Linked DNA regions of Arabidopsis thaliana. The protein of the gene in region 1 interacts with the protein of each later gene in a biochemical or structural test. Each region holds a gene or a part of one and is shown in the gene's direction. Other genes may lie near its edges.

What was found.
Region 2: of the proteins of ARAC5 (region 1) and ROPGEF2, one has a biochemical effect on the other in vitro, tested with the Arabidopsis thaliana proteins (one study listed by BioGRID).
Region 3: the proteins of ARAC5 (region 1) and PIR121 form a complex in vitro, tested with the Arabidopsis thaliana proteins (one study listed by BioGRID).
Region 4: of the proteins of ARAC5 (region 1) and ROPGEF1, one has a biochemical effect on the other in vitro, tested with the Arabidopsis thaliana proteins (one study listed by BioGRID).

The regions. Positions count from the first base shown.
Region 1 is NC_003070.9:28,470,491-28,478,302, forward strand, and holds ARAC5 (RAC-like GTP binding protein 5), read left to right. Parts: upstream 1-5,158; 5' UTR 5,159-5,473; coding exon 5,474-5,572; intron 5,573-5,940; coding exon 5,941-6,028; intron 6,029-6,115; coding exon 6,116-6,225; intron 6,226-6,337; coding exon 6,338-6,401; intron 6,402-6,483; coding exon 6,484-6,548; intron 6,549-6,626; coding exon 6,627-6,692; intron 6,693-6,788; coding exon 6,789-6,887; 3' UTR 6,888-7,312; downstream 7,313-7,812. Other genes in the region: LCR67 (low-molecular-weight cysteine-rich 67), read left to right, coding at 1,915-1,978, 2,086-2,264; VPS35B (VPS35 homolog B), read right to left, coding at 7,563-7,773. UniProt on the Arabidopsis thaliana protein: Involved in cell polarity control during the actin-dependent tip growth of root hairs, thus regulating root hair length and root hair initiation.
Region 2 is NC_003070.9:257,241-265,067, reverse strand, and holds ROPGEF2 (RHO guanyl-nucleotide exchange factor 2), read left to right. Parts: upstream 1-3,452; 5' UTR 3,453-3,593; coding exon 3,594-3,939; intron 3,940-4,030; coding exon 4,031-4,147; intron 4,148-4,243; coding exon 4,244-4,398; intron 4,399-4,464; coding exon of another isoform or gene 4,465-4,485; coding exon 4,486-4,950; coding exon of another isoform or gene 4,951-5,033; coding exon 5,034-5,378; coding exon of another isoform or gene 5,379-5,405; exon of another isoform or gene 5,406-5,453; coding exon 5,454-5,573; downstream 5,574-7,827. Other genes in the region: AT1G01710 (acyl-CoA thioesterase II), read right to left, coding at 1-47, 167-271, 356-411, 486-548, 676-788, 908-995, 1,134-1,211, 1,298-1,423 and 5 more. UniProt on the Arabidopsis thaliana protein: Guanine-nucleotide exchange factor (GEF) that acts as an activator of Rop (Rho of plants) GTPases by promoting the exchange of GDP for GTP.
Region 3 is NC_003076.8:6,100,241-6,108,382, reverse strand, and holds the start of PIR121 (transcription activator), read left to right. Parts: upstream 1-3,402; 5' UTR 3,403-3,517; intron 3,518-3,591; 5' UTR 3,592-3,599; coding exon 3,600-3,653; intron 3,654-3,966; coding exon 3,967-4,039; intron 4,040-4,122; coding exon 4,123-4,187; intron 4,188-4,327; coding exon 4,328-4,405; intron 4,406-4,742; coding exon 4,743-4,862; intron 4,863-4,948; coding exon 4,949-5,019; intron 5,020-5,114; coding exon 5,115-5,207; intron 5,208-5,391; coding exon 5,392-5,461; intron 5,462-5,550; coding exon 5,551-5,615; intron 5,616-5,760; coding exon 5,761-5,956; intron 5,957-6,065; coding exon 6,066-6,217; intron 6,218-6,321; coding exon 6,322-6,415; intron 6,416-6,504; coding exon 6,505-6,714; intron 6,715-6,784; coding exon 6,785-6,996; intron 6,997-7,098; coding exon 7,099-7,243; intron 7,244-7,329; coding exon 7,330-7,498; intron 7,499-7,595; coding exon 7,596-7,672; intron 7,673-7,769; coding exon 7,770-7,940; intron 7,941-8,051; and 2 more. Other genes in the region: AT5G18420 (CCR4-NOT transcription complex subunit), read left to right, coding at 25-111, 425-478, 637-782, 959-1,109, 1,187-1,324, 1,736-1,807, 1,883-1,956, 2,042-2,183 and 2 more. UniProt on the Arabidopsis thaliana protein: Involved in regulation of actin and microtubule organization. Part of a WAVE complex that activates the ARP2/3 complex. Interacts with the active form of RHO-family GTPases.
Region 4 is NC_003075.7:17,982,607-17,990,431, forward strand, and holds ROPGEF1 (rho guanyl-nucleotide exchange factor 1), read left to right. Parts: upstream 1-3,777; 5' UTR 3,778-4,036; coding exon 4,037-4,304; intron 4,305-4,391; coding exon 4,392-4,508; intron 4,509-4,594; coding exon 4,595-5,115; intron 5,116-5,227; coding exon 5,228-5,581; intron 5,582-5,666; coding exon 5,667-6,053; 3' UTR 6,054-6,263; downstream 6,264-7,825. Other genes in the region: sks9 (SKU5 similar 9), read left to right, coding at 234-380, 479-588, 818-1,088, 1,177-1,282, 1,373-2,099, 2,200-2,278, 2,358-2,567; IYO (RPAP1-like, carboxy-terminal protein), read left to right, coding at 6,509-6,682, 6,871-7,711, 7,776-7,825. UniProt on the Arabidopsis thaliana protein: Guanine-nucleotide exchange factor (GEF) that acts as an activator of Rop (Rho of plants) GTPases by promoting the exchange of GDP for GTP. Acts downstream of PRK2 in the control of polarized pollen tube growth by activating ARAC11/ROP1.

The DNA.
Region 1 (7,812 bases):
TGTATTAAGTACAGAGATTGATTATCCTATTTCTCTACTTAATCAATGTTTCTTTCTACAAGACAATATATACACAAAAGATGTATTTACGGAAACAAAATCGATAGAGACAAAAATTAGAAAATCTGTTAATAACATTTCATCACCATCCAATTCAGATAAACCCCAATAAAATCAGTTAAAAGCTTTTTGATGGAAGAAAGCTAACCCCTAAGAAAATATTATATAACGAACCCAAATATACTAATCTTAAATAATTGGAATCGATTAAAATTTTCAATTATTTCTTATCCCTCTTTGAAATTGAAGAAAGAGAGGATGAAATTAATTCAGATCAAACAATTCAAATTCAAAAAAGCTATGGAGGATTACCACCTGCATCGTCGAGGAAGAAGATTGGCCAGGCATAGATCTGAATTTTGTAAGGTGATGGAGAAGCAATGGACATCAATGGTGAGTTTAGAGGCAATAGATTCCATGCCATTAGAGAAAGAGAAAGAGAGAGAAATAATCGCACATTTCTGAGATCGATTGATATTGATGAATTCTCCTCAATTAGATTGAAGGTACAAGGAGAAGAAACTCAATTAGATTGAAGGATAAAACAGTCATCCATATAATATAAAAGTATCTAAATTTGTAAGGAACATGAGATGTTCCTATATCTACAAAAGCACAGACTTTAATATGCTAATCCCATAATTGATCCCTTAATTGTGTGTGTATTCAAAATAAGCCCACTTCTTATAGGCAATGTAACACTTGACTCAAAAGCCAAAGCAGCCACTTAAATAGTTAAGTTACATTAAACAGAGAAGCAGCCTTCCCTAAGTTAAGCATTCTTAATCTAACCAAATATAATTCATATCTAACAATGTTAACTTCTCTTTCTATTCTTAATAATAACCTAACAAATTAACTTGGGTGGTGTACTATTCTGAGTTTGTTACTTGTCTTGTCCATGCACGGCTAGTGCTGGTGCTGTCTTAGAAGGGCTTGAAGGTACGTGGCTGTTGATACAGAAAATGTTTAAAGAGGAGACAAGTCTTTGTCAAAGTTTGCGGATGACGGCTATGAAATCGAAAACGAATTTTCTTTCAGTTTTTCTTAAAAATTTTTTTTTACCTTAAAACAATAAGTTAAATAAATAAAATTAAATCGGATTTATCTTCTCGGTCGTCCGAAAATGGCAGAGTTGAATCCAAGAAGTTTTGTGTGGGAGTTGAGGTGGGAACTACGAAATTAAATATAATCTATGCGCTATTTTACAAATTTGTTAGTCCAAATCCACTATGTTGCTAATATTTAATTACATGTTTAGATCCTAATTAGTTTGATGATTATATAATCAATACCAAAGAAAGTGAAGAAATAACCTAATTTATCAACTTGCCAGCTAGTGAAGTAGCTCCTTGGAGGTTTCAGTAAAAAATAATAAAAGTCGATAAAAAAATACTACCCAACTTCATGGTTTATTATTAAATGCGATGTGGTCGAGACAAAGTACCACTTGAGTACCGTACTAGGATATGCTCAACATATTTAAAATTTTGACCAAGTCAAATTAACCAGCCAGAGATGTTAACAGTTAATGTAGTAGCCACCGGTCCAATGAAATTGCAAATGAACAAACGTAGCACCTGAAAACTCGCCACCGATCACGATCAGCACACTTTTTATGAATTGGTCAAGATATTATCTTCTATCATTAGATGAATACTTGCATGTTAGTATTCTCTACTATCAGACGGTGTGTATTTTTTTATTTATAGGGTTGAACGCTTTATTGTCCCATGCACACGTAAAAGTCGACCTCCCCATCATTTTTTCACTATAAATAGTGGTTGATTTCAAGCAGATTTCTTCAAACTAAAACATATATACATCGAAAACAACTAAGTATAAACAATAGTCATGGCTAAGTCTGCTACCATCGTTACTCTTTTCTTCGCTGCTCTTGTTTTCTTTGCTGCTCTTGGTGAGTAATGATGTTATCGTATACCATATGCATGGAAAATTGAGTTTTAACCTTTTTTCTTTCATTTTATTGTGATAATTAACTGTGAGAGATATATCTATATGCAGAAGCACCGATGGTGGTGGAAGCACAGAAGTTGTGCGAGAGGCCAAGTGGGACATGGTCCGGAGTTTGCGGAAACAGTAACGCGTGCAAGAATCAGTGCATTAACCTTGAGAAAGCACGACATGGATCTTGCAACTATGTCTTCCCAGCTCACAAATGTATCTGCTACTTCCCATGTTAATCTACCAAGAGCTCTTAATGCTTAATTATAAAGTGTGTATTTCTATTAAATAAGTATGTGTCACTCTATGAGAGGTCTTATGACATGTACCAGATATGTTATGTTGCTTTGTTTTAATAAGATAAACTTTTACGTACGACGTATACTACTGTTTCTTCTTGTCCATATTTGTCTGCAAAACTCCAACACAACACAAACGATTATTTGAAAATAGAGAATCGGAGGAATATGTTATAGTATTTCATAAAAACTGCTTATAATAAAGAGTATTCAGCTTATACATAAAAGAGAGCTAGCTACATAACACAATCTCCGACTTAATTATATACCAAAGAGATTTACCTAGCTAATTCAACTTTAAAAAACGAGGTCTTGTGTTGACATCTTTGAATTTTTATTTATTGTACTTAGGCTCGGCTACAATGTAAAAAACAGGCGGTTTCGGAGAAGAATACCAAATGTATGTTTCCACCAAAATTATGTCAATTTACAAGACTGATATCTAGAATGTTCATGCTGATCAGCTAGTTATGTGGTTATTCAAAAAATATCTATAGATATCCCAATTCCAAGATTTGTAAATTATGTTAATATAAACAAAACTGTTACTTCTATGGAGTTTGAACCAGCGTGGCAAAAATTTCCTGCACCCATATTAATATTAAATTATCTCAAGCTAGTATCTGATGTTAGATTTGTACTGTGTATCACACTGTACGTATGCTTGCTTACTTATTACTCTATTACAACAGATATTTGTGTGTTTTCATTGTTAAATAATGTAACAGAAATTTGTGGGTTTGACTGTTCTTTTTACTGAATTTCTCACTACTTGAAGTCTAACTAGAATAACATGTGACTGTTTTATAATTTATAGTTCGAGGTTGATTCAGAAAAGTCGTAAAAATCTCTCATAAATGTATTACCGTATGGCTCTATATTGCATATATGGGCCCAATGTCTCAAGTCTCAACCATGTTTTAAATTTTCAGTACTAAGCAATGCATATGTTTTTGTTAGACACAATTTTTCTTCTTTTTTTGATAAAATGTGAGTTTTTTTTTTTTTTTGAAATGTGATTAATTACCAAAATGGAAACATTGTTACTTGCAAAAATCTTTGGGACAAATAGCTTCTAAGACAATTTGTTTTTTAAAAAGCCTCAGAAACTAATAAACGCAAAGATTACAAATAGAGAACTATTACGAGCTAGGCATGGGAAAACCATTGAGAGAGCAGTCACCGCGGCCTTTGCGGTACCTTCGAGCCAGGAGAGTGTCTCTAATTAATGTGCTCCTGTCGATTTGCTTAAAGACAGAGGCAAATCTGTTATGGAGACTGTTTGTACTTGTCAAACTATGGGCCATCAGTCGACCGCAGCCATTGTTAGACACAATTAACTATGTGCGCCATCTATTATGGAGACTGTTTCCACTTGTCAAACTTTAGCACTATGCCTTTAAAGCTTTAACAAATGTTGAATGACTGAGAAACCGACAAACTTTAGTCTACTACATCTTATCTATATACTAATTACGCAACAAAAAAATAAAAAAAAATTGGATAATGTTTTAAAACATAACATATTTTACTCTTCTTCTATGACAGATGAATTACTACATTCCAAAATAAACAAGTAAAAACTCTTGTTTCGTGGATAAGCATGCACTAGGCAGTCAATTCATTTGGAGTCTCACCAAACCAAGTACCCCATGGGCCCTGGTGGCAAAAATGGTCACTAATCATGATATTTCAAGAGTTGTCATAATGGGCCTTAATTCGCTACTGGGCCTCAAGTGTGAGCCTTCGTGTTATTGTCTTTTCTAGCTTCCAGTTGTGTTAGTGTGTTTGTGCCTTTGTGTTATGGCCCTTATGGCACTCCATATTGTCACTTGAATCACTAATGTAAAGTTTATTCATTTTCAAATAAGTCGCTTTAAATAGAAGCACTAGATTTCATGATCAATCATTATCAAATTTCTTATAAAAAAAATCATAAAGCCTGAAATTCATTTCATGTAAGAATCAGAATGAATGGGTAAAGGTGTTTTTGGTTGAGAGTAGGTAGAAGCGTAGAGCTAACTCTAACCCCTTCTTTAGTTTGGTATGATTGAATATTAGTTCATATAAATATAATTGGTGAAATTTTGATGTGTCCTTGGTCCTTTAGAAGCAAACTGTAATAATGCGACCGTATGATTTGGATAAATCTAATGTGGGACAATTCATGATGTGTCGTATGCTCATTGGTAGGTTGAAAGAGAGTTGAGCACGTTCGTGTAAGATTTTTCGATTCTTATGTCGTAAAGATGAAGAAAACTCTTTAAAATTACAACTATAAAAACAAAGACAAAGACACTCTTGACAAAATTAAACCATATTAATTTGATAAGGGATTTGAGAAAAAGGAATGAAATGGTGCCGTAACACTAAGTCGCACGTTCTTGACGAGAGTCGTCCCAATCCAATGATTAATATTTGGCAATTTCATGCCCTCCCTCCCCATAGTTTGGTCGTTTATTATGCTTTACTCTTAGTTTTTTTTCTTAAAAATTATAATCTTTATTTATTTGCTGTCTTTTTTTTTTATAATTGTCAATTAGGTTAACAACTATGGTCAAATTAGAAAACATTAGTTTTTGTTAAAAGAAAATTAAAAAAAAAATCCATGTTTATTAGTGAATTAGGTTTTTATTTTGGTGGTAGTTTAGCTAATCTCATAAAACAGATAGTAATTTCATAATGTAAAAAGATATTTCTACTATACAGAAAAGGAAAAGAAAAAAAAAAACTCATTACAACGGATAATTTCTCAATTTGTATTCAAATTCAAAATTAAAAGTGCTCAAAATTAGTATTATTTAAAAGAAATACTAAAGTGGGGTGAGTGTAAATGATAAGGTGTTGTTTGGTGTAGCAAATAGCTGGCATAAGGTTGGTATTGAAAAGCTCATCTCAGAATCATCAACGGCCCAAAACACATTGCAAATTAAAGAAAAAGCAAAGATTTTCCTCATTCTTTTGCCATTATTATCTCTCATCGATTTGGCTTGCTACTTTTGAATTTACCCGTGTTCTACTACGATTCGGGATTAGGGTTTTTTCTTGAGTTAGAAAAGATTGTTTCTTGATTCTTGGGAATGGCTGGGATTTGAGGAAGAAGAAGTGCAAAAGGGTTCTTTTTTTGAGTTTGTGAATTTGCTGCGGAGATGAGTGCTTCGAGGTTTATAAAGTGTGTCACCGTCGGCGATGGTGCCGTCGGAAAAACTTGTATGCTGATTTCTTACACAAGCAACACTTTCCCTACGGTAAAGTTTCTTCCTTTTGCTCTCAGTAGTGATCTTGAAGCATTCTTTGAAAATGGGTTTTTGGAGATTATTCATCTTTGTTCTTGAATGTGATTGATTAGCTGGTAAAAATTGTAAAAATCAATTCTTGACATGTTTCTTCAGAACTTTTATTGATGCTTCCATGGATTTAGCTTCTTTGTTATTTATCTTTACCTATGAGCATTGTTCTTCTTTCATTTTGGACTTCATGTTCAATTTGTATGTATTAGTCAAATTTGCAGATATGAGGATCTATAATCTTTTCCATTATTGTGTGTGTTAATGATGATCCACTATTGTGTGTGTTTTAGTTTAACAAACTCTATGACTTGGTTACTGAATATCAGGACTATGTTCCAACTGTTTTCGACAACTTCAGTGCTAATGTGGTTGTAGATGGGAACACGGTGAATCTTGGATTGTGGGATACAGCTGGTAAATAATCCTTTTGAAACTCATCAAATCTGGTTTTCTTGTTTTTTTGTGGTTTCATTTTGACTGATAATTCTTGGGTTTGTGCAGGTCAAGAAGACTATAACAGGTTAAGACCGTTGAGTTACCGTGGTGCCGATGTCTTCATTCTTGCATTCTCGCTTATTAGCAAAGCTAGCTACGAGAATGTAGCCAAGAAGGTTAGCTTTTTGTTGATCTAACGTCTTTCATTTGATAGTAATAACTTTCGTTAAGCTGATTTTGAATTGGTTCCTTCATTTGCTTTTTTTTTTTTTTTTTTCTTTATTTCAGTGGATTCCTGAGCTTAGGCATTATGCCCCTGGTGTTCCTATAATCCTCGTTGGAACGAAACTCGGTATTGACTCTCTTCTTGTCTAAAAACTCTTTCCTTATAATAAGAAAGAGATGAATAATAATTCAAGTTTTGGAATTTGCAGATCTTCGAGATGACAAGCAATTCTTCATAGACCATCCTGGTGCAGTGCCTATTACTACAAACCAGGTACATAACTCCACAATTCTTTAAAACAATAGTGTTTTTTGCTTTGCGAGTTCTTGATCTTTAGTTGTTTGTCTGCAGGGAGAGGAACTAAAGAAACTGATAGGATCACCAATCTACATTGAATGTAGTTCAAAGACTCAGCAGGTATACTACACACATAAATAATATCTCACATGTCTTTTTGTTTGGGATTTTTGTATTTGGTAAGACAGTGAAAATGTTGATTGTTGGGTTTTGCAGAATGTGAAAGCAGTCTTTGACGCAGCCATAAAAGTGGTGCTTCAGCCACCGAAACAGAAGAAGAAGAAAAAGAACAAGAACCGCTGCGTGTTCTTGTGATCGAACATCTCTTAAAACGAAAAAAGGTTTAGGTAACAAAAGAAGCTGAAGGAAAACGAACACCTGCAACATTGTATAGTTGTTGAATCCGGCTTGTTTCGGTCTTTACTCTTCTTTTTGCTGGTGAATCTAATGAGTGAACTGAGGCCAAGAGGAGGATTCTGGGTAAGAGAAGGGGATGTGTTCTTTTCTTGGTGTGTTGTTGTTGTTGTTGTACTTTTGCTATGTAGACTAATCTCTTAATACTATGTTGTCTTTGTTTTTGCTGTTGGGGTCCATTTTGTATTTTCTTTAACAGAAATCTTAATTAATTTTTTAGTGACTTTTTTTAAGCTTCCGTTGATCTTATGGTCTTGTATTGGTATGTAATTAGATTCAGACAACGAAGAACATCTTGAGATAGATCTCTATATACAATAAGATTAGAGACATCGTTGAATTGAGGCATAGTTTCAAAGAATGGTTTACAGAAACGAGGATTCTATACACACAGGTGAGGTGAGTATAAGGAACAAAGAAAATAACAATTACAAAGGTTTTCTCCATTTTGTAATAAGACCGAAAAGAAAACAAACATGTGTAGTGTACACTTCCTTTTCAGAGTTTCCAACATTTCTTTGGAAAATACAGAGAATTCCTCTCGGGATTTGATGAGGCTTGTGTCTCGGATTTAAGTCACAGCTTGATAGGGTCATATTTCTCACCCATCAAACCACCTTTCTGTTTTATGAACTTAATGTAACGCAATGTACTTGTAAAGAAGGGATCTGAGTGGATTGTCGTGTTACCGTTGTCGCTTTGCATCTCATTGTTGATCAATTCTATGAGGCTCTGTATATCAGATGGAGTGATATGTGGATTCCCTTTCTCAAAGAAGTAAATGTACCTGTTGTATATGAAAAAAACATTTTTAGTATTGAGATGC
Region 2 (7,827 bases), about 28 Mb from region 1:
CTTGATCATCAGAAAGCCTTCCCTTTGCTCTAAACCAATAGTTCAATCTGCAAGAAGGCATTGTGAGTTTCTTGATTTTTTTTTTAAGAAATACTTAATGGAATTTATGAGTATACACTCAAGAGTACTCTATGATATAATTGATTTATTTCAGCGAGTTGTTAACCTCGGAGGAGACTTTGTCTGATTTGTTGAATTGCTGGGCTCACAAAATCGAATCTCTATAGGCCATGGAACAAAGTTTCTAGTTGCAACTTTGTTCCGATAACTCCTGAAAGAAAGAAACAATTGGAAGATTGGTCCAACTTGAGCTTTTGATATAAGTTATCATACATTGGAAAACACTACCACTTACCTCGGTAAATGAGGATCAGTTATACGGCTTTCACGCAACTCCTCCAGTGATAGAAGCTGTAGCAGATAATGGTGAAAAATAAAACACACAACAATTTATTGGAACCCTTAAATCTGGAGAAATGATTTACCGTATCAGGATCTGGTACAGAGGGCATGGTTGACTCCTGGTGCTCAAATCCTTGTTGTTCTTTCTATGAAAGTAATAAAAGAGAAAATTTAAGAAAACAATTTTCCCAGTTTTGTGAAAGGCTATTCTCTCTTGGTGGCAGGTGGACGTAGAGATTCATAAGCTATCTTGTAAAGAATAAAATGGGAAACCTGAAATGATGCCAGCAAGATGAATATGATATTTCCTTTCTGTACTGCATCAACTCTTCGGGTGGCAAAGTTGTTCCCATCACGTATGCGGTGAACTTGATAAATAATGGGGACTGCAAGCAAGAGCAACAAACTATGATAATCAGATGAATCCAACAGCAGGGTGGGTTTCAATAGGGAAGAAAGGCATCATTGGTGGCTAGAAAGTGCCCCAGTGAGATTATGTACATACTGTCAATATCTCCAACGAGAAGAAAATAGGAGTGTAAACTGTGGACGACCTTGAGAAAATCAACAGTTTTTGACGCCGCAGCAAGAGCCTGTAAAATGTTGGTAAAAGTGACTTAGTAGTGGTTACGGTTATCACTGTTAACAAGCAATATATATATGCACATGAATCAGATCAGCAAGGTTTACAGAGACATAATAATGTAACCTTCCTAGAGAAAATGCGATACCTGTCCGACAAATTGTCCTCCAAAAACCTTTCCAAATATAGGAGCATCAGGTAGTGTGATCCCCCTGAAGATATTCAACTAGAAGAAAGAAGCACAGAGAAAAAGAGATTCAGTTGCCAGAAGCAGAAAGAAATGTGATAAAGAAGAACACCGTCCGTACGTACTTCTAAAGGGTCGAGTTGCAAAATGCGTTCCACTAAAGAGCATTTGTCAAGTGACGTATCCGATTGCCAGATGGAATTAGTCTCAAGCAAATGACAGTGATCACGCGGCAACACCAAACACGTAAGCTGCAATGACAAGTGAGGGAAGAAACTTGGACACGCTTGTCGTTGGAATATATATCAAAAGTCAGCAAATACCTGGGACATAGCAACAATGTCTGCTGAATGAACGTTCCCAGATAAACCTGTAGGAGGAAGAAAAAAGACAAGGAAGCTGAGCATATATCACCAAACCCAAGGTTGAACAGAAAGCATTCATCTCTCACCAACGCCGAAGTAATCATACTGTTTCAAGAGGAATTCGGAACGGTTATCTTCTTCGTCTGGTCCGGAAACCTGAGCCTGCAAACAAGAATCAAATTATAACAATGGCGAAGATAGATACATCGATATCTAGTCTCAGAAACAAACCTCTCCTTGCAAAATAAAATAACATCCATCCCAAGTTTGATCTTCACGAACCACATAATCCCCTTTCCCTTCAATAATACAATAGAGAACAACACAGCTCAATTTTTTTATATCGTGAAATCAGAGAGAAGAATAAATCCGAAATTGAGAATGGACCGACCGTAACGTTTCGGCACAACAACTTGAGCAATTTTCTTCAGAGAAGAGCTCGGTAATTTCTGGAGTAAAGGGACGTTTCCAAGGAACTCGACAACTACAAAAACAGAGCAGCAACAACATGGAATTCGCCGAAAATCTCACTACGTCATTCCTCAATCTCACGTTATAGGCTTACCTGACTCGGTGTTCATGGCGGATTCGGCTAGTCGGAAGAAATCGCCGGTTGGATGATGATGATTAGGTGTGAGAAAATGTGGTTTCCTCCCACCTGGCAAGGTAAATCAATTGTATCAACTACCAGCTCCGGTTTATGGAAGAATACGTGGACTCGGTTCGATTTTTATTTCTCTCACGTGTTATAAATAAAATAATAATAATTAGTATTAATAAATGAAGAAATATACAAATAATATTGGTGTGATGTAATTTAATTCTTGAGATGAAACAAAAAGCAATAAACAAATCCTACAACCTCAAGGCCCATTAATGGCTTTAAGGCCTTAAAATAAATCCGAACTAAGTAAATTTCTAAATGGCCCATGAGAAGAGACGATAATAACAGAATCTCAGTCAGCTGTTATTTTAATTCGTTTCTAGTCTAATGTTTCTATTTGAATCAGTATTTATTTTTCTTTTCGTTTAATTTGCTTGTTTAAAACCAATGGTTACTATATGCAAGTTATAGTAACCACTCCGGACGGGTTTTCGTCTTGTTCGATTATCACTCAGTGGTTAATTAAATTGTTACCAACTCCTGAAAGCTGTTATTTTTCGTTTCTAGTCTATGTTTCAATTTGAATCAGTATTAATTTTCTCCAAATCATGGATGCTTTCTCGATCGATTGGGTCTCACTGTCACGATGGATTTTCCTCCTACTTAATCTTAAAGCATATGTACATTTGGAAACAGATATTCTCTGTAGCTATGTGTTTCTCGCGTAACACGCTAGGTACCTTTGGGGTTTATGATTTCGTATCTTCAATTAGTTGTTTTAGTTGAAATGTTTGAAAAAACATTTCACAATCTCAACCGTAGGATGAGTCATCCTTCCCCATCGGACGGTCCACATTGTTCAAGTTTTTTCCGGGCACCGATAAATTGTGTAGAAAGCTTAATGCGGAAAAGAGAGTGTTTTATAAACGTTATAAAAGATTCAAGCGTTTCAAATTCAAAGACAAATTTGCAGAAGCTTTAAAGCCTTAAAGGTAAATAAAATAAAGACCGTTGCTTTTTTCTTCTTCCTTAATATCGTTTTTCAAAATTTCAAGTTTCAGACTTTCATGTATCTTGATCGACATAAGCGAAATGTTTGTTATAGTAATAAAATAAATCTTCGTGAAAGTTTCGATAAATAATGTTGTGATTACTTCATTTCTTTCTTTTCGTTTCTTTATGTTTTGTTTTGCTTTTTGATTTTGGCACGCCTAACGGTCTCTGCTTTTGGCCAAAAAAAAACAAAACAATTCTTCTACTTTACTGCTATCTGGTCCTCAAAATTTCACTATCCAAGAATCAAAAATAATTCCCGATTCTAATTGTCGGATTTAGATTCATATTCTAAAGTTTTCCTGATACATCACAACGAAAGTTCTAAGCTTTATTTCTTTTATTAAAACAAGAGATCAACAAAAGCAGAGGAATTTTCAAAAACAGAACATTGAGAAGATGGAGAATTTGCCAAATCACGAAGAAAACGACGATGTGGGCTATCATCAGTCACCTGGTCCCATCGATCCAAATGATCATTCAGCATCTGAAACTCCGGTTTACTCAACAATGAGCACAGATTCTTTTGCTTATCATCGAACATGTTCTGAAACCTCTGGAGGAGGCTTTTCAGACCAAATAGATGAAACCAGCAGTTTCTGCACTGAGGCTTCTCCTAGTGATTGGCCTGTCTTAACCGAATCCAACAACTCTGCGAGCTCAAATTTTCCAACTGTCTTCGACTTGAAACATAATCAGATTGAGACTGATGAGCACCTTGCGGTCCAAGAAATTTCAGAGCCAGGTTTTGTGTTTCTCCGTCTCTCTCTCTTTCTCTGTGTCTGTATTTCCTCTTTGTCATTATAATCATGAAACTGTTATCGGTTTCGTAGCAGAGCTGGAGACGATGAAGGAAAGATTCTCGAAGCTTCTGCTTGGGGAAGATATGTCAGGAAGCGGCAAAGGCGTTTGCACCGCAGTGACAATCTCAAACGCTATAACCAATCTTTATGGTAACTAAACACTAATACGCCTCACAGTTTTGTGACTTTCAAACTAAGCCATCTAGAGAAACTGTAGTTAATGTCTTTTGATTTTGAGATTTGCAGCTACTGTTTTTGGACAGAATCTAAGATTAGAACCATTGGAGATAGAGCAGAAGACGACGTGGAAGAGAGAAATGAATTGCCTTCTCTCTGTGTGTGACTATATTTTCGAGTTTATCCCAAAGTCACAGAATCTAAGCAATGGAGCCACTGTTGAGGTAAACAAGATTTGCTTATAGATATAAGTCCAAAAACTGAAATAAACATCAATAGTTTAAAAATAGCTGTTGCGGTTTTTTTGTCAGGTCATGGAGAGTAGACCAAGAGCAGATATCTACATCAATCTGCCTGCACTCAGAAAACTAGATTCCATGCTTATGGTAGTTACTACACCAGAACAAGAAGCTATCATCAATAAGATTGACTCGGTTAATATTCCTCATAAAAGTCATTCTCTTTGTTTTCTGCAGGAGGCATTGGATAGTTTTCAAAAGACAGAGTTTTGGTATGCAGAAGAAGGAAGCTTGTCGATGAAGTCAACGCGTTCCGCAACTGGATCATTCAGGAAAGTGATTGTGCAGAGGAAAGAAGAGAAATGGTGGTTACCGATTCCTCTGGTTCCATTACAAGGTTTATCAGAGAAGGCAAGGAAACAACTTAAGAGCAAGCGAGAGAGCACTAATCAAATCCATAAAGCTGCTATGGCCATCAATAGCAGCATACTCGGTGAAATGGATATTCCTGATTCTTACATGGCAACTCTTCCAAAGGTAACCACACTTAAGATGATTTTGAAGTTTTGGTTTTCTATTTTTGGTGTCATTTTCTTGCTTACAATATTATGCATTTGCAGAGCGGAAAAGCGAGCACAGGAGATGCAATCTATCGACACATGACGAGTTCAGGGCGGTTTTCACCAGAAAAACTTCTAGATCGTCTCAAGATTGTATCAGAACATGAAGCGCTTCAGCTGGCAGATAGAGTAGAAGCTTCAATGTACACATGGAGACGCAAAGCTTGTCTTAACAATTCCAAGTCTTCATGGAATATGGTGAAAGATTTAATGTCAATTACAGAGAGAAGTGACAAGAACTATGTTTTGGCTGAGAGAGCAGAGTCTTTGCTCTTCTGTTTGAAACAACGGTACCCAGAATTGTCTCAGACATCGTTAGATATTTGCAAGATTCATTGCAACAAGGTAATTAAGAAACAAACAGTGACCTGAATCATGTTTTATTGAATATTATAACAATTTATGGTTTGTGGTTTGCAGGATGTTGGAAAAGCTGTGTTAGAGAGTTATTCAAGAGTTCTTGAAGGTTTAGCTTTTAACATAGTTGCTTGGATTGATGATGTTCTTTATGTAGACAAAACAATGAGAGGAGAAGAATGATGAGTATAATTACTTTTAATTTCTTCTACCTAGTAAGATTCAAATTGAAGTAAAATCATATTAAGAATTGTTTTCCTTATGTAAGAAAGACGAACGCTGTATATAGATTATTAGATACCGGGAATAATATTAGTGGGGAGAATTTAACATTTAGTTATGTTTTAAAACAAGTGTTAAGAGTTAAATAAAAGTATATTTTTAAATATTTATTAATATACTAAAAACAAGTGCTAAAATTTTAAATTATGTGTAAACCCATATTAAACGTATAACATCTCTTAAGTCTTAAGTCAGCACCAAATATGAAATCAATCATAGCTTAATTAACTTTTCTTCAGAAGAAGAAGAAGAGACGATCTACAGAAGATAACTCTTAAGTCTTTTAGATTAAGTAGCAAACCTGATCGTTGATGAGGAGATCTTCGATAGAACTCTGAGTCATCTGAGAGAAACCACCACAACCACGCTGAGACGAAGAAGGTCCCTGAGAGAAGGGACTGCTGTGACTGTTGAGATCGAAGCTGCTGAGATGCTTGTGGATCTGCTAATCTCCTTTTAAAATAAGATTCGCGCAACACAGATACACAAATTCGATTCAGAAAACATAATCAGTAGCCAAAACGAGAGAAATTGCGCCCAATCAAACGCACTTCAGATTTCATTGTTTAAACATAAATTCGATAGAGAAAACATAATCAGTAGCCAAAACGAGAGAAATACTATATTTTCTTCTTAAATAATTTTATTGTCACGTGGGTCACCGACCTCACTACATAATAAGTATACACTTTTTACATGTAAAGTATGTAGTTTTTTTAGAAATACGGAGAATAAACACTTTTCTCTTTCAACTCTAATTTGTAAAGGGAATTTAATGAAAAAAACCCTCAACTTTGGCCAGATCCATTTTTAAATCCTGAACTATGTTTTTAGTTAAACAAACCCTGAACTAAAACCTGTTAATAAACTTAACCCCACAGTAATTAAATATTAATGAGATATTAATTTCCAAAAATCGACCAAAGAACAATGACAGAATCCGTGATCCAACTGAAGATCGTCCACCTCAAAAAGTTCCTTATACACGTGAAAAAGTTCAAATGGTAAAATAGAGAACAATGAATTATGTTTCACAAGATCTTCCTTTTCAAATTATTTAATTTAATCTTTGCATATTTAGACTTGCAGCAACTGTCAACAAGTCGGACACAACAAACGTTCATGCAAGCGTAAAGCAGTGCCAAAACCACCCAAGAAACCTCAAGGACGACCAAGGAAAAAACAGAAAACAATGGATGAAGAGAACCCTATCACTCAGCCAATACAATCTTCTCTTCAAAGTTAATGTTTGACAAGTCTTTACTTTAGAATATCTTGTCCCTCTGAAACGATTGTTTTTTTTTTTGTGACAAATATTGTTGTGTTGCAACAGCTTCGATAGTTATGTTGGTTGGATTTATTTAAGCATGACTCCTTGGATTATTTTAAGTTGTTGTATCTTTCTTTCAGCTTCTAAAATCCAAACTAATTAAGCAATTCAAAATCATTTAGAAGGTTTTTTTTGTAATAAATTCAAAACAGTTTTAAAGAACATCATGTGGTTTTTGCGCTAAATACAAATGTCTCGTTGTTTTTTTTTTGGAAATTAATATCCCATTAATATTTAATTACTATGGGGTTAAGTTTATTAACAGGTTTTAGTTCAGAATTTGTTTTACTAAAAACATAGTTTAGGGTTTAAAAATGGATCTGGCCAAAGTTGAGGGTTTTTTTCATTAAATTCCCATTTGTAAATAACTTTTATAACTTTCTCTTGTTTTGTTATGTAATCAAATAAAGACAAAACTTACATTTTCCTTTTTCTTATTTTCATTTATACATATTTAGTTTGTTTTGCTATAAAAATTTTCTTAAATAATTACCATAAAAACATATTAATGAGTTCAAGAGTTTAAAGTGTGGACTTTTCATTAAAGTCTCGGAGAACGCTGAGGCGAGCGACATGAAAGCGCCGGAAACGCCGAAGTCACTAACATTCAGTTTAAGCAGAGTGATGCAGTACGCGTGGAAAAAGAGAAGCGCTCCCGTAGCGAACAGGTCCGATTCACCGGAGTGCGTCTTCAGAAGATAAACTGCAACGGAACGAACCCCCCATAGAAACCATGCGGACATCGAATGGTGATGGAGCGCCGGCGGTGGTGGGTTCCTCGGGAAATCAGGAAGCATGGCGTAGGGATTGTCGTCGTCGGTTTCG
Region 3 (8,142 bases), on another chromosome or scaffold:
TAACAATATCTATGCCTTTTGCAGGCTGCTTGTAATGAACAGCTGGAAAAGTCTGAAAGGGCATTTCTTCTCCACCTGTTACAATGGAATAGTTACAACAACGTGAAAGAGGTAGGATATAGCTGTTTGCCTGCTTCTTTTTTGCTAATCCATGAAAATTCAAAATTTATGCATAAATATGTTATGCAATTCCCTTTTCACATATACTCTCTAAGACTACTGATCTCCTTAAACTTGTTTGCTGGGCTCATTTATTTCTGTCATAATTAAGTCCATCACTCCTATCAGGCATATGCTAAGCCTTCTTTCGTTTCTGATATTTTTTTCAAGTCCTGATTCGTAAAATTTTATGAGCTCTGTGACCTGTGGATACTACGTAAGTAATCATGATCAATTAAAGTAACGAAAGTGTGCTCCCTTGCAGATTCTCAAACTCTCAGCTGTTGATTATATCAGATCGTTTGATCCTTCAACTCATGTAAGAGCGGTTGATGCATAGATATCTTCTTTCCAATTATATCTCTTAAGATATTTTATCTTCATCGTAACTGTTCCTTTATTATGCCTAACATTACCTAGAGAACATTTAGAGAAACCTTTTCCAGTTATTGATCTAATATGGGGATGCTCTGTCAGGATTTTCCGGAACTAGGAGAGCTGCAACGAGAGTATGGCGACAAAGCCGATCCTGGACCATCTAGTCACATTTTTGCAGACTATTCCCTGAAAAAGCTATTGCATGATCCTGATGTTCCTCGTGGGTGTGATCCTAACTCTCCAGAGTACGTAACCTATGAGTCAGGGGATTCTGTTTCTTTCTAACTGTTATATACAGTTGAATCTGATCTATTTCTTTCAAGCTTCCAGTTTTCCTCCAAGCTTAATGTTCTGTGTTATAATTAATGTGCCAATTTGAAGTTGATTGTATGAATGATCATTGAGTCAAATAATCTTATAGGTTTGATGTGCAAGCTGGAGTGAATCCCAGAATTGGATCTGGTGATAGGGATGAGGCACTATCTGGATTCTTAGGAAATTTGACAATGGGGGGATTAGGTCCTAGGTGGATCCGTCCATGTCCACCAAGGTACCCAGTTCATCAGAGCGAGGTAAAAATAAGAATAACCCCTTATTCAACTGGTTCAGAAAATTATCGAACTGACCTAAATGGTTCAACTTCTTACAGTTGCTTTGGATTGACCCTGATAACAAGCATGAGCTTGTTTGGGACGATAAAATGTGTGCTGATACTAGCAGTGGTGCAACAGTTAGAGACTTGCTTGTTAAGGGTTTAAAGGTGACACTTTCACCTACGGAGCAAGAGGTATGTTATCGCTCGTTAATTCTTGATATGCGCATAAAATCATACAAGTATTGACCATTTTATTACCTATCTTACTCTAACACTTATAAGCAAGTTAACATAGCAATGGGACAGTAACTACATATGCACAAATTTTAAAGGTTGTAAAGGCAGCCATTGTATGGCAGTAGTTTTGAGAGAGAAGTCGTGCTCGTGCTATCACTCTAGTATTTCCTTTCTCATTGGATTTAAAGATCTAGGATATTAAGAAGGAATTGACTGCAGTAAGAGTTTATGGAAAATAACCGTGCAATAGATAAATAGTGATTGTGATGTTTTATTTCATCAGCCTTGCCCGTATAGCTGATGAATTTAGAAAACCTGGATCTTTTGAGTGATTGAAATAACTTGTTTTATTTATTTACTGGCCAGGACATCATTACAGAATTGGCAAATGACCCAAAGCTTGTCTTTCACTGCGGAATAACTCCACGGAAGCTGCCGGTATGTGATTCATTTTCTGGCAGGTGGTTTTTTTCTTTTTTCTTTTTTTCATGTGATCTAGTTTCTTATTCTCAGCAATTAGTAGAGCACAATCCTCAGATAGCAGTTGAAATTCTCACCAAGTTGAATAACTCCACAGAGATTAATGAGTAAGTCATCACCTTATTGGTTCCACCATTTACTTTCGACCAAAATTATAACTTTTAAAGTGGGAATCTAAGAATGCTTCTTCAGCTATTATGAAGCTCTAGGAAATATGGACATGAGCCTGCACTCAATGGAAGTTGTGAATAGGCTCACAACTGCAGTTGAACTTCCCAAGGACTTCATACGGATGTACATCACTAATTGCATATCGTCTTGTGAGAACGCTAAGGTATTAAAACAAAGCGTCCTTTTGATTTCCCGTTAGGTACTTAAAACAAAGCTTTCTATGAGTATCCATAACGCCATCCTATAATCTTGTGTGAAAAAACTTCTGCTTGTGCTTTGCATTATGTGCTTTGTGTATATGATTCTCGGATTTGTTGATTTCAATGTAGTTGTTTTGTTAACGGTATAGTGATATATTGTTTTCGATCTGTAGCAGCAAGACAAATACATGCAGAATAGGCTTGTACGGCTTGTTTGCGTCTTCTTGCAAAGCTTAATTCGTAACAAGATCATCAACGGTATGCATTCTCTGTTTCTGACTGATTGCTATCAAATTAGGCGTTTTGCTTTGCTAATAACACAGAAAGATCACTAGATACATTCACAGAGGAAGCTTTTATAGTCTATTAGTATGATGTACAATTGTGGGTGATATATGTTTTTTTTGGGTAAAAAATGTAACAGTGAAGGATCTATTCATAGAAGTTCAAGCTTTCTGCATTGAGTTTTCTCGGGTTCGAGAAGCAGCTGGTCTCTTCAGGCTTTTGAAACAATTGGATGAATAATTTACTCTTTCTTCTTCTTCTTCTTCTTCTAATCATCTTCGTCTCCATTTTATTGTATTCCCTATTTTTGTAGCTAAAGAAAGTACTTTATTTTGAATCCAAGACAGTTTTCGCTTTTTCTAGAGTTTCATTCTCAATTCATATGTTTTTACAACAAAAATTTCTGGTTAGACTTAGACGGCATGTCCTTTCCATTAGGCTACTAACACTTAACCGTGAACGGTTTACATGCTCACACCGATAGCACCAACACCTGCTGGTTCTTATCCGGATTGGTTTAAGGCTCCGGTTAAACCTTAAAAGTTGTTACTGATTCTACAAAGTAACTTATTTTATGTTCAGTAGTTGTTCACTGTAAAATTGTATTTATATCTATTTTGTTTTGTTACTGGTATTACTCTTATGTATTTTCCCAAAATAAGAAATGGTTGAGGATAAAGGAATCAGTAAATAATGATTTAGCTGTCATCAAGTTTGCTTCATAGTAAAGACACAAATGTAATGCTTCTTCTCAAAGCTTTAATCGGATTGAACAAATATGTACTAAAGAAAAATTCTGAAAGGTGAAAATACAAACGAGGACCCAAAAAGAAACATTTTTTTTTTGTTACAGAAAAACAAATAGAAAAAGAAAGCTTCCAACTTTGCGAAATATTTGGTTCGGACAGAGTAGTAGCGAATTTATCGATCTCTGTCCGTAAAGAATCAGAAGAAAGGCGAATCAATTGACTTGAAGTAGTAGCAGCTCTCCTCTCCTCTCCATTGTTGTTGGGTAAGAGCCTTAAAGTTGAAAGCTTTATCCTTTAGTCGCCCAATGTTGCTAATTGCTTCGTCTGATCTTTCCAGGTGACTCAATGGCGGTTCCTGTAGAGGAAGCAATCGCAGCTCTTTCCACATTCTCCTTAGAGGTAACTTCGATATTCTAGATTTTGGTAAAATTTAGAAATTGTGGGTCTTTGGATCCTTTTGACTACAAATTTTCTTTCCGGAGTTCATATTTCAAAATTTTCTTCTAGAAAGGATATGAAATTATTGTTTCTATTTCTTGTTAAATCCTTTTCGTGTAAAATTATCACATATATTGTTTAATCACCTGTGGATCTTTGCCTAAGTTAGCAGTAAAATAAGTTTCAACGAAATGTTGAAGATTTAAGTAGCTTCTTGAAAAATTTGAAGTCACTCTAGTACATTTTCTTGAAGCATTTTGAATTTTGGTTATAGGATGAGCAACCAGAAGTCCAAGGACCGGCTGTGATGGTTTCAGCTGAAAGAGCAGCAACCGATAGTCCCATCGGTATGCTTCATTGTTCTCTTGTCACTCTTTTACCATAAAATCCAAATAATCAAGATGTTTTTTTTTTTATTACTATTCTGTAGAATATAGTGACGTCGCTGCATACCGGTTGTCTCTATCAGAAGACACAAAAGCTCTTAACCAGCTGGTATATGGCTATTCTTCTTCATTTGCCTCATCTTAGAAAGACTGATTAAATTACGATTTGATATTTTTACGGTTATGTTGTGTTAATCGTGTTATATTTGAATACTTCAAGTAAGTTTTCAACCAATTGTATATATGCAGAATACACTTATACAAGAAGGAAAAGAGATGGCGTCAATTCTATACACATATAGAAGTTGTGTCAAAGCACTGCCTCAGGTCCTTGTGAAATCTATCACTACACTCCTTGTCTCCATTGCATATCTACCTTTAGACATTTTATCTGATAAAATGTAGCTTTGAGAATTATGCTATGCGTTAGTTCTTCATGGTATTCGAAATCTCGTAGCAACTGTACGAGACTCTTTTTTGAACTACAAAGTATAATGCAGTTATAATGCAAAAATAAAAGCAACAACAAAGTTCTCTGTATAAATAATAGCGAATGATAGAAATTACTGAAAATAATATCAAATACAGTACTTCTTGCTGGGTGTTGTTGTGTATATTTCTTCCATAACACACATAACTTTCTTTATTAATGATATACATGCAGCTTCCCGAATCTATGAAGCATAGTCAAGCGGATTTGTATCTAGAAACATATCAAGTTTTGGACTTAGAAATGAGCCGTTTACGCGAAATTCAAAGATGGCAATCGTCGGCTTCAGCTAAAGTGCGGTGTATATCCTTCCTCGTCCAACTCGTTTTATATAAATTCCTGTATCAGAAATAATGTGCGTATATTCTCTGTCTGTGCAGTTAGCTGCTGACATGCAGCGGTTTTCCAGACCTGAACGGCGGATCAATGGTCCCACAGTCACACATCTTTGGTGGGTTATAACTCTTATTTTGTGTTTTGTATTAGATCCTTGGATGATTAACTTTCCTCGTGTATATAGTTTAACTGTGATTTTACTTAATATAGGTCAATGCTAAAGTTGCTTGACGTCTTGGTTCAGCTGGATCATCTTAAAAATGCTAAAGCTAGCATTCCTAATGATTTCTCTTGGTATAAGAGGTGAAAGATATAATACTTTTATCTTTCCTATCTATATTTTCTGCAAATAGGACACTTGAATGTAGGTAGATCGATGTTTGTTACTAATCCTTTCAGCTACTAAAGCTCTATTTAAGAGTTGAATTAGTTTCCTAGAAGCTTTTTTTTTTAGTTTATGTTCTTAAGATAGTTTCACTCTTTTCAGAACATTCACTCAAGTCAGTGCGCAGTGGCAAGATACAGATACAATGAGAGAAGAGTTAGACGACTTGCAGGTGTTTGCATGGCTTGTTTATGCAATCATTTGATAATGCCTTCCCCTGTGGTTTGTCGTAAATGAAAATGTGAGTTCTTATGTATGCAGATCTTCCTGAGCACAAGATGGGCTATTTTACTCAACCTGCACGTTGAGATGTTCCGTGTAAACAAGTATCCTTTCTTCCAGACATTTATCACCATCGTGTGGCTGTTAAAGACATTATTATGGGTTTGTCTATCTGAGATATGCATGCTGCTCAAGTCCCTTGTGCCATTTGACTATATTGCAAGCTTTTGGATTCCTTAGTAAATTCAGTGTGGAAGATATTCTCCAAGTTCTCATAGTCTTCATCGTGGAGTCTCTGGAGTTGGATTTTGCACTACTTTTTCCTGAGCGGTATATTCTTCTCCGGGTTCTACCTGTTCTTGTTGTCTTAGCAACACCATCTGAGAAAGATACCGAGGCTTTATACAAGAGGGTAAAACTCAACAGATTGATAAACATTTTCAAGGTATTGAGATTCATGTTATACCTGTTTTCGCATTCACAACCAATATACCGCAAAGCCTTGTTTCCAAGTCGCTAATTGTCATATTTGTTGTGTGTTTTTCGGCTATCAGAATGATCCTGTCATTCCTGCGTTTCCAGATCTCCATCTTTCTCCTGCTGCAATTTTGAAAGAATTGTCGGTATACTTTCAAAAGTTTTCATCACAGACTCGCCTTCTGACTCTTCCAGCACCTCATGAGCTCCCTCCACGTGAAGCGCTAGAATATCCTTTAATATTTTCACTGTTACTTGCCTATTTTAACTATTATCTGGATTATTGTTAACCGTACACATGCTTTGAAAATTGCAAGCCTTAACATATTTTACATATCAGAGGCACTATTTGATAGTCAATCACATTGGAGCTCTCCGTGCTGAGCATGACGATTTCACAATCCGATTTGCTTCATCCATGAATCAGGTGCTCAAGCTATCTCTATCCCTGGAGCTCCAATTTTCTTGTTCTTATTTTGAGTCTCTAGGATGTTGTTCTCACTTGCTTTCATGCAGTTATTGCTGTTGAAGTCAAACGATGGAGCATATACTGAATGGTGCAGAGAGGTCAAAGGAAACATGTACGATATGGTTGTTGAAGGTTTCCAACTGTTAAGTAGATGGACAGCACGCATTTGGGAGCAATGTGCTTGGAAATTCTCTCGCCCATGTAGGGATGCAGGAGAGACTCCTGAAGCCTCCGGATCATATTCTGATTACGAGAAGGTAATACTTGTGAAATATTTTCGAAAAGTTTTATCTTTTATGGTAACAAGTTTTGGATTCTTTTAAATAGGTGGTGAGGTTCAATTATACTGCAGAAGAAAGGAAAGCCTTGGTAGAACTTGTTGGCTATATAAAGAGTGTAGGATCGATGCTGCAGCGCTGTGACACATTAGTTGCAGATGCTTTATGGGAGACAATACATGCCGAAGTTCAAGATTTTGTACAGAACACGTTAGCCACAATGTTGCGTACCACCTTCCGAAAGAAGAAAGATCTCTCAAGGTGAATTGGTTTTCCTTTATTTTCTTTCTGTTTCAAGTCCATGTTCTCTTAAACTTAAGCTTTGCATATTGTTAACTTATCATATGTATGGTTGCATTTCAGGATTCTTTCTGATATGCGGACACTTTCAGCTGACTGGATGGCAAATACCAGGCCCGAACATGAGATGCCATCTTCACAACATGGAAATGATGAAAGCAGAGGGAATTTCTTTTATCCGAGGCCTGTTGCCCCAACAGCAGCACAGGTTTGGGTCCATTTCAAGATGATTTTAAGTACAACAACAGATGGTAAGATCCAGTGCTTGAACTTCTTGCTTTTTTGTTGTTTCAGGTGCATTGCTTGCAGTTTTTGATATATGAGGTTGTCTCTGGTGGAAATCTGAGGAGGCCAGGGGGATTCTTTGGAAATAATGGCTCTGAGATTCCTGTTAATGACTTAAAGCAATTAGAAACTTTTTTTTACAAGCTCAGCTTTTTCTTGCACATATTGGACTACTCGGGTAACCCACATGCTTAAATGTCTTTTTGGTTGGTTTATTGAGCCATATCAATAGCTTTGTAAGCTGACTCCTCAACTTCAATTTACGATGGCTGCAGCAAGTATTGGAATATTGACTGATCTGGGGTTCCTGTGGTTTAGAGAATTTTACCTGGAGTCTTCACGTGTTATTCAGGTATGCGGAATTACAAAAAGGTTATAACTATATTTTGCCACTTTGTTTTCACTGCAGCCCTGACTTGTTCTTACAAATTATACGTTCATTACTGCAGTTCCCGATTGAGTGTTCACTACCATGGATGCTGATAGACTACATTCTGGAAGCCCAGAATTCAGGCCTTCTTGAGAGTGTTCTGCTACCTTTTGACATTTATAATGACTCAGCTCAACAAGCTCTGGTTGTTCTGAGGCAGAGATTCCTCTATGATGAAATTGAAGCTGAGGTAATTAGATTTCAATTCTGATCTCAACAGGTATAATCCTATAGGTCTTCTTGAATGAAAAGGTTCCTTGAACAATACTATCGTTTCTTGTCTCCTGTCTTCTTTCTGTAGGTGGACCATGGTTTTGATATATTTGTTTCAAGGCTCTCGGAGTCTATATTCACATATTACAAGAGTTGGTCAGCAAGGTACCTAATTACAC
Region 4 (7,825 bases), on another chromosome or scaffold:
AATAACAATCCCCAACCCAAAGGACAAAATAATGGGTATTTAATTAGTAGGTGGGGTGGCCTTATAATATATTACAGGTTGAAATAAAAACACGGAATTAGCTGATTGGAAAAGCTTCCCCCTCCCCATTGGACTTTAAATACGACACCAGAGTCATTTGTTCCGTTACTACAAAACAGAGTTGAAGCTTTCTCTTCCAACTTTATCTTCTTCTTCTTCTTGTCAAAGCGAGTATGTGCTGGTGGCTAAATGGGGCCGTTTGGACGATGATGATGATGACGATATCCATCATTTCTTTTGTTCAAGCTGATGATCCCTACCGTTTTTTCGACTGGAGAGTCACTTACGGCAACATTTCTCCACTTGGCATTCCTCAAAGGGTATTTTTTTTTTTTTCCAACATCCACAAAAATGGCGGGATGCTTTCTGTTTTTGTTTGCTCGATCATGCATGCTTTATATTCTATTCATACACGCAGGGAATCCTGATAAACGGACAATATCCAGGACCCGATATTTACTCAGTCACCAATGACAATTTGATCATCAATGTTCACAACGATCTCGACGAGCCCTTTCTCTTATCTTGGTACCATTTATCTAGCTCCCCTTCTCTACCATTTTCTTTCATTCATTAGTTATATTAGAGGAAATAGATATTGGAGTTTGGTAAATGGCATGATGGAGCCAATTTGCATGCACTAGTGTTGTTTCTTCACATTCTTGTTAGAGATTATATTGGTGGCGAGACGTCAAGTTTTCATGTTAATATAATATCAATGAATTAATATAATACAAAATGGTAAATACTAATGAAGGAACGGAGTGCAACTGAGGAAGAATTCTTACCAAGATGGAGTGTATGGGACGACTTGTCCAATCCCACCGGGTAAAAACTACACTTATGCCATCCAAGTCAAAGACCAGATCGGTAGTTTCTTCTATTTCCCTTCCCTCGCCGTTCACAAAGCTGCCGGTGGTTTTGGCGGTTTCCGTATCCTCAGCCGCCCTCGCATCCCCGTCCCTTTCCCTGAACCCGCTGGAGATTTCACCTTCCTCATTGGTGATTGGTTTAAGCATGACCACAAGGTATTTCTTTCTTGAATTAACAAATTATGTTCGTTTTAGTATTTGTCATTGTTATACAAGGACCATAATTAAATGTAACATTATTCAGGTTTTGAAGGCAATTTTGGATAGAGGACACAAGCTACCTTTGCCTCAAGGGGTTTTGATCAATGGCCAAGGAGTCAGTTACATGTCTTCCATCACCGTCCACAAAGGTTCATCCTAAAAACACTCAAATACTTTGATTACGAAGAAAAGCATTATATTATCTCATCATTTATTTTTTGTTGTGGAACAATTATCAGGTAAAACATACAGATTTAGGATATCGAATGTAGGGCTTCAACACACTCTGAATTTCAGAATCCAAGGTCATCAGATGAAGCTCGTTGAGGTAGAGGGAACACACACAGTCCAGTCCATGTATACCTCTCTCGACATTCACGTTGGACAGTCTTACTCGGTCTTGGTCACCATGGACCAGCCTGACCAAGACTATGACATTGTCGTCTCCACAAAATTTGTCGCCAAAAAACTCTTGGTCTCATCTACTATCCACTACTCCAACTCAAGACATAGCCACTCATCTTCTGCTAATTCAGTCCATGTTCAACAACCTGCCGATGAACTAGATTGGTCTATCAAACAAGCCCGGTCCATTAGGACCAATCTAACCGCGTCTGGGCCAAGGCCTAACCCTCAGGGTTCGTACCACTATGGTCGAATCAAGATTTCTAGGACTTTGATATTGGAAAGCTCAGCGGCACTAGTGAAGAGGAAGCAACGCTACGCCATAAACGGAGTGTCGTTTGTACCTGGAGATACTCCGCTAAAGCTTGCGGATTACTTCAAGATCAAAGGCGTTTTCAAAATGGGAAGCATACCTGACAAGCCGAGAAGAGGAAGAGGGATGAGAATGGAGACGTCAGTGATGGGAGCACACCATAGAGACTTCCTTGAAATCATATTTCAAAACCGCGAGAAGATCGTCCAAAGCTACCACCTCGATGGATATAGTTTTTGGGTTGTTGGGTGAGAATAATTAAAGATTAGCTATATCTATCGTCCTCTATATATAGTAGCTAGTAATAATGCATTGCATGCATCTGATGTTTGTGAGTACTGTCCACAGGACGGATAGAGGAACATGGTCAAAAGCAAGCAGACGAGAGTATAATCTTAGGGATGCTATTTCTCGCTCCACCACTCAGGTACAAATAGTTTCTAACTCCATATATCTTACCAAAAATTTTAAAAAATCATCTCAAAACTAGTATTTGGTTGTTGTAGGTATATCCAGAATCTTGGACAGCCGTATATGTGGCACTGGACAATGTGGGGATGTGGAATCTAAGGAGTGAATATTGGGCGAGGCAATACTTGGGTCAACAATTCTACCTTCGAGTTTATTCTCCAACACACTCTCTTAGAGATGAATATCTTTTGCCTAAGAATGCTTTGTTGTGTGGCCGAGCCTCCAATAAACACACCACTCCTTAATGACTCTACTCAGACCAATCGTCAATGGCTGATTTAGGGATATGTATTTTATTATATTGAGTTCTTTATTCTTTATAATTTCAATAGCTAGATATATGTTGCACAATTATTATATATACTTCAAAAATTGTAATGTATACCCAAATTTGATGAAAATTTTACTGTTTTGTAACGGTTATTGCTAAGTTTGAAGTTAATTTTTGTAGGCAAATGCAATGTTTTCATATGAATCAACCAAGTAACTCTACCATATCACCAAGCAAAATAGTATAGTTTGAAGAGAGAGAGTAAATTAAAAAAAAAAAAAAACCATACATAACATATTAGAAACATTAATTTCGAATAAACAGACTTTAACGATGAAATAAAAATTTAAATTATTATCCACCGGTAGATGTAGAATGTTTATTGGTATAGAAAGTTGTTCTATTTGGTCAAAGTTTTTGTTGACCTTGCAATTACAAATTACAAGGCTGTCAATCGAATGAAAAACATGGCAATGGAAAAGATTTGCTAATAATGCCAAGACAAACAAACGTTTATTTGGAAGGTTAAAAGCCTTTTAGAGAAGAAAAAAAAAGAGCAGAGAGTCAACTAATTAAGCCATGCATGTGAATCAACACCAATCCATAGCATATTCTAGTGATCAGTGACATTAATATTGTAGATTACTATATTAACCCGAATTCAAAGGGCATTAAATAGGTACTTTAATGAATTGAATTAAGAAGAGTAATATAATCAACGGCTTAGATTCGTTGCGTGAAAAAACCATAACCGAAAACAGCGGAATCCACGAAATAAGTAAGCCAAACGCAATCTAGACCGTACGATGTGAATACTTTAATGACGCCAGAATACTATGGACAGTGTAGATCAGGCGAATGGGCGTAATACACGTGGCGTAAAATCACGAGGATAGATATGGTGCAACGTAGTTCAGGCCGGTGTGGTACGAGAGAGTCTGATGATCCGACAAGGAATACTTCTAGTCCACACAATGTCAGCCTTTCTTTATTTTCTCGGTCGCTTCGAGATTCTCAATTCTGCTCTGTAGAAAAGATCCTGATGGTTCACTTTTAATATCCAACGGTTGATATAACACAAGCGCATGCTCCTCTTATGAGAACGGCCGTGGGATATAATTTAATCTCGCCGTTAAAAAATGTGACGACCGTGAGTTAACGGTTTATCTGTTACCAACCTCATACCTGTCCCTAACGGCAGAGGATAACGCCGTGAGTATGGATGGATGGGAGAGAAAAGAAGAGAGAGAGTGTGAGTGAGGAAATGAAAGGAGTCTTTTTTATTTGTTATCTCTCATCTCTCTCTCTCTTTCTCTCTGAGCTTTGCTTTTTATCAAACAAGCATCATCATCACATCCACTTCCTTCTTCTTCCTTTCTCTGTCTGTCTCTTAACCCAAATGTGGACTCTTTGAGCCGTTATTAGATCTCTGCCGCTTCAATAATGGGGAGCTTATCTTCTGAGGAAGACGACGAAGTCTCTTCCGAGAGATGCGGAAGTTACAGTCCCAGCGCCGACATTAGCGAGTCCGAGAGTTCCAGCAGCTTCTCCTGCCACCGCTTCGACGGCGAGGGTGCCTCTAGCTCCATCCCTTCTTCCCCTCGAGTTGTCGCTGGTAGAGGATTTTACTTCCCGGCCCCAGTCATGCTTCCGGTGATCGGCGGCAAAGATGTGGTCTGGGATGACAAACAACCAGACAACGATTTATCCGGTATAAAAGTTTCCAAATTTGACCTCTTTTGTAAACATTGATGAACACTAGGATTCAATTTCCCTTTTGTTTCCTATTGGGTTTCAGAAATTGAGATGATGAAGGAGAGATTTGCTAAGCTACTTCTCGGGGAAGACATGTCTGGTGGAGGTAAAGGGGTTTGTACGGCGCTTGCTATCTCCAACGCCATCACCAATCTCTCTGGTACCATCTCAATCTTCTTCCCTTTTTGTTAGTTGGTATATATAGTAGGGGTTTCTAGTTTTTTAATAAGGCTAGTGTCCACACAGCGACTGTGTTTGGCGAACTATGGAGGCTTGAGCCTCTTGCTCCTCAGAAGAAGGCCATGTGGCGCAGAGAACTTGAGTGGCTGCTCTGTGTTAGCGATTCTATCGTTGAGCTCATTCCTTCCATTCAGCAGTTCCCTGGAGGCGGAACTTATGAGATCATGGAGACCCGTCCACGTTCTGATCTCTATGCCAATCTCCCTGCTCTCAAGAAGCTCGATGCTATGTTGATCGATATGCTTGACGCTTTCTCCGATACTGAGTTCTGGTACACTGATCGCGGCATAGTTCTTGGTGATTGTGACAAGGATTCTTACAATTCTCCAGCTTCCGTTAGGCAGGAGGACAAGTGGTGGCTGCCTTGCCCTAAGGTTCCGCCTAACGGTTTGTCAGAAGAGGCCAGGAAGAAACTGCAGCAGTGTCGGGACTTTGCTAACCAGATTCTCAAGGCTGCATTGGCAATTAACAGTGGCGTGCTTGCCGAAATGGAGATTCCCGACCCTTACTTGGAGACTTTGCCCAAGGTATGCGCCTTCTCGAGCTCAAGGATTAGCTTTTTCATTGCTGCTGGAGCATAAATTCTTTTACCGTTATATGTGATTAGCTCATTGAGTTATGATTTTAAACTTAATGCAGAGCGGGAAGGAATGTCTTGGAGAGATCATCTACCAGTACTTAACTGCAAACAAGTTCTCTCCCGAATGCCTCCTGGACTGTCTTGATCTCTCATCGGAACATCAGACTCTTGAAATCGCCAACCGGATTGAGGCGGCTGTGCATGTTTGGAGACAAAAGAATGGGAGGAGGCACAAGAAGCAGGCGAAACTAAAGCTGTCTTCTTGGGGTGGCAAGGTTAAAGGCCTTGTTAATGACAACGAAAGAAATGATTTCCTTGTGCAGAGAGCCGAGACCCTCTTGCAGAGTCTCAGGATCCGTTTCCCGGGACTTCCCCAGACAACGCTGGACATGAACAAGATTCAGTACAACAAGGTACATTATAGTTTGGAGTGTGCTTTGCTGGTTGCATCATGAAACGATGCTTAGATAATTTAAGAGTTTGTGTGTGTTCTTGCAGGATGTAGGGCAATCAATTCTGGAGAGTTACTCTAGGGTGATGGAGAGCATGGCCTTCAACATCACGGCCAGAATAGATGATGTGCTTTATGTTGATGATGCCATGAGAAGATCCATCTCTGTCACAGAATCGCTATCCCTATTCAGCATCAATGGACTCAACCCTCAAAAAGCGTTCTCTGTGCAGAGCTCTCCGCACGGTTCACCATTTGCAACGCCTGCCCTAAGTGTAGCATCAAGAAGCCCGAGGAGAGCACCGCCGCTGTATTCAGTGAAGAGGAATGGGACGAGAGAGAAGGGAATAGTGGGAGAAACAGAGAAAGCATGGTCGTATGCAGGGAATCTGAGTTCAAGAAGAGTAACGGGAGTGACGCCGGAAAGAGATTAAGATTGAAAATAGAAGAATGTAAATCAATGGTTGTAGAGACTGTAGTTGTTTCTTGTTTGTCTGACTACGAAGACGAATGTGGTAATAGCAACAAGAATGTTATCTTATGTGGAGTTTTGAAATGTTGTTAACAAATCAATTCCTTAGCTCATTTACCAAGTTTACAAAGATTATGGTCCAAGTCCTAAAACTGAATGAACATCACATACCCGTCTCTTGAGTGATTTAATCATGTTCTTCATTGCACTAAAGCGACAACTTTTGGTTCAAATATAGACTATGACTATATGGTTTGTTTTGCACAGGATTAAAGTTGATGTTCCAATTTTATAATTAAAAAGTCAGAAAGGGGTTTTCTTGTTATTTTTTACTTGTTCTTATAAGCTATCGGGACGACACGGAGTTTTAAAGAGTTTTCCGTTTTGCTGAGCGGAGGCGAGAGAGGGTTTAGAGTGATGGAGCAAAGTAGCGGGAGAGTCAATCCGGAACAGCCGAACAACGTCTTGGCGAGCCTTGTCGGGAGCATCGTGGAGAAAGGAATATCGGAGAATAAGCCTCCAAGCAAGCCGCTTCCCCCAAGGCCCTCCCTTCTTTCCTTCCCCGTCGCTCGTCATCGTTCTCACGGACCCGTAAGCCAATCCAATCCTCTAGTGCGTGCTTTTTAGGTTTCCATCTTCCTTTTGTTGCCTTCTTCTAGATTTTAAGCACCTTCTACTGTTGTTTAGTACTTGGGACTCCACAATTTTTCACCGTGCCTGACCTTGTAATTCAGCTTTCTGAGACATCTAATTTTTGTTTCTCATGTTTGATTTTGTAGCATTTGGCTCCTGTGGGAAGCAGCATAGCACAACCTAAGGATTACAATGACGATCAGGAAGAAGAAGAAGCAGAAGAACGTTTCATGAATGCAGACTCCATTGCTGCTTTTGCTAAACCGCTTCAAAGAAAAGAGAAGAAAGACATGGACCTCGGGAGGTGGAAAGATATGGTCTCTGGGGATGATCCTGCATCCACACATGTCCCTCAGCAATCAAGGAAACTTAAGATCATTGAAACGAGACCGCCCTATGTTGCTTCAGCCGATGCGGCCACTACATCCAGCAACACTTTACTGGCTGCCAGGGCATCAGACCAGAGAGAGTTTGTTTCTGATAAAGCACCGTTTATTAAAAATTTGGGAACCAAGGAAAGGGTTCCTTTAAACGCTTCTCCTCCCCTAGCTGTTTCGAATGGACTTGGGACTCGACACGCGTCTTCGTCTCTTGAAAGTGATATTGATGTTGAGAACCATGCAAAGTTGCAGACAATGTCACCCGACGAGATTGCTGAGGCTCAGGCTGAGTTATTGGACAAGATGGATCCTGCACTACTCTCCATTTTGAAGAAACGAGGTGAGGCAAAATTGAAGAAGCGAAAGCATTCTGTGCAGGGGGTTTCCATCACCGATGAAACAGCAAAGAATTCAAGAACTGAGGGTCATTTTGTCACTCCTAAAGTGATGGCAATACCGAAAGAAAAAAGTGTGGTGCAAAAGCCAGGGATAGCCCAAGGATTCGTGTGGGATGCATGGACTGAGAGGGTTGAGGCAGCCAGAGACTTGAGATTTTCTTTTGACGGGAATGTTGTTGAGGAAGATGTTGTCTCGCCAGCTGAAACTGGTGAGTAGAACAATACAACTGAAACACATGACAATCTTAGGTTGCTTACACTTTGACTGTACAGGTGGAAAGTGGTCTGGTGTTGAATCTGCTGCCGAACGTGATTTCTTGAGA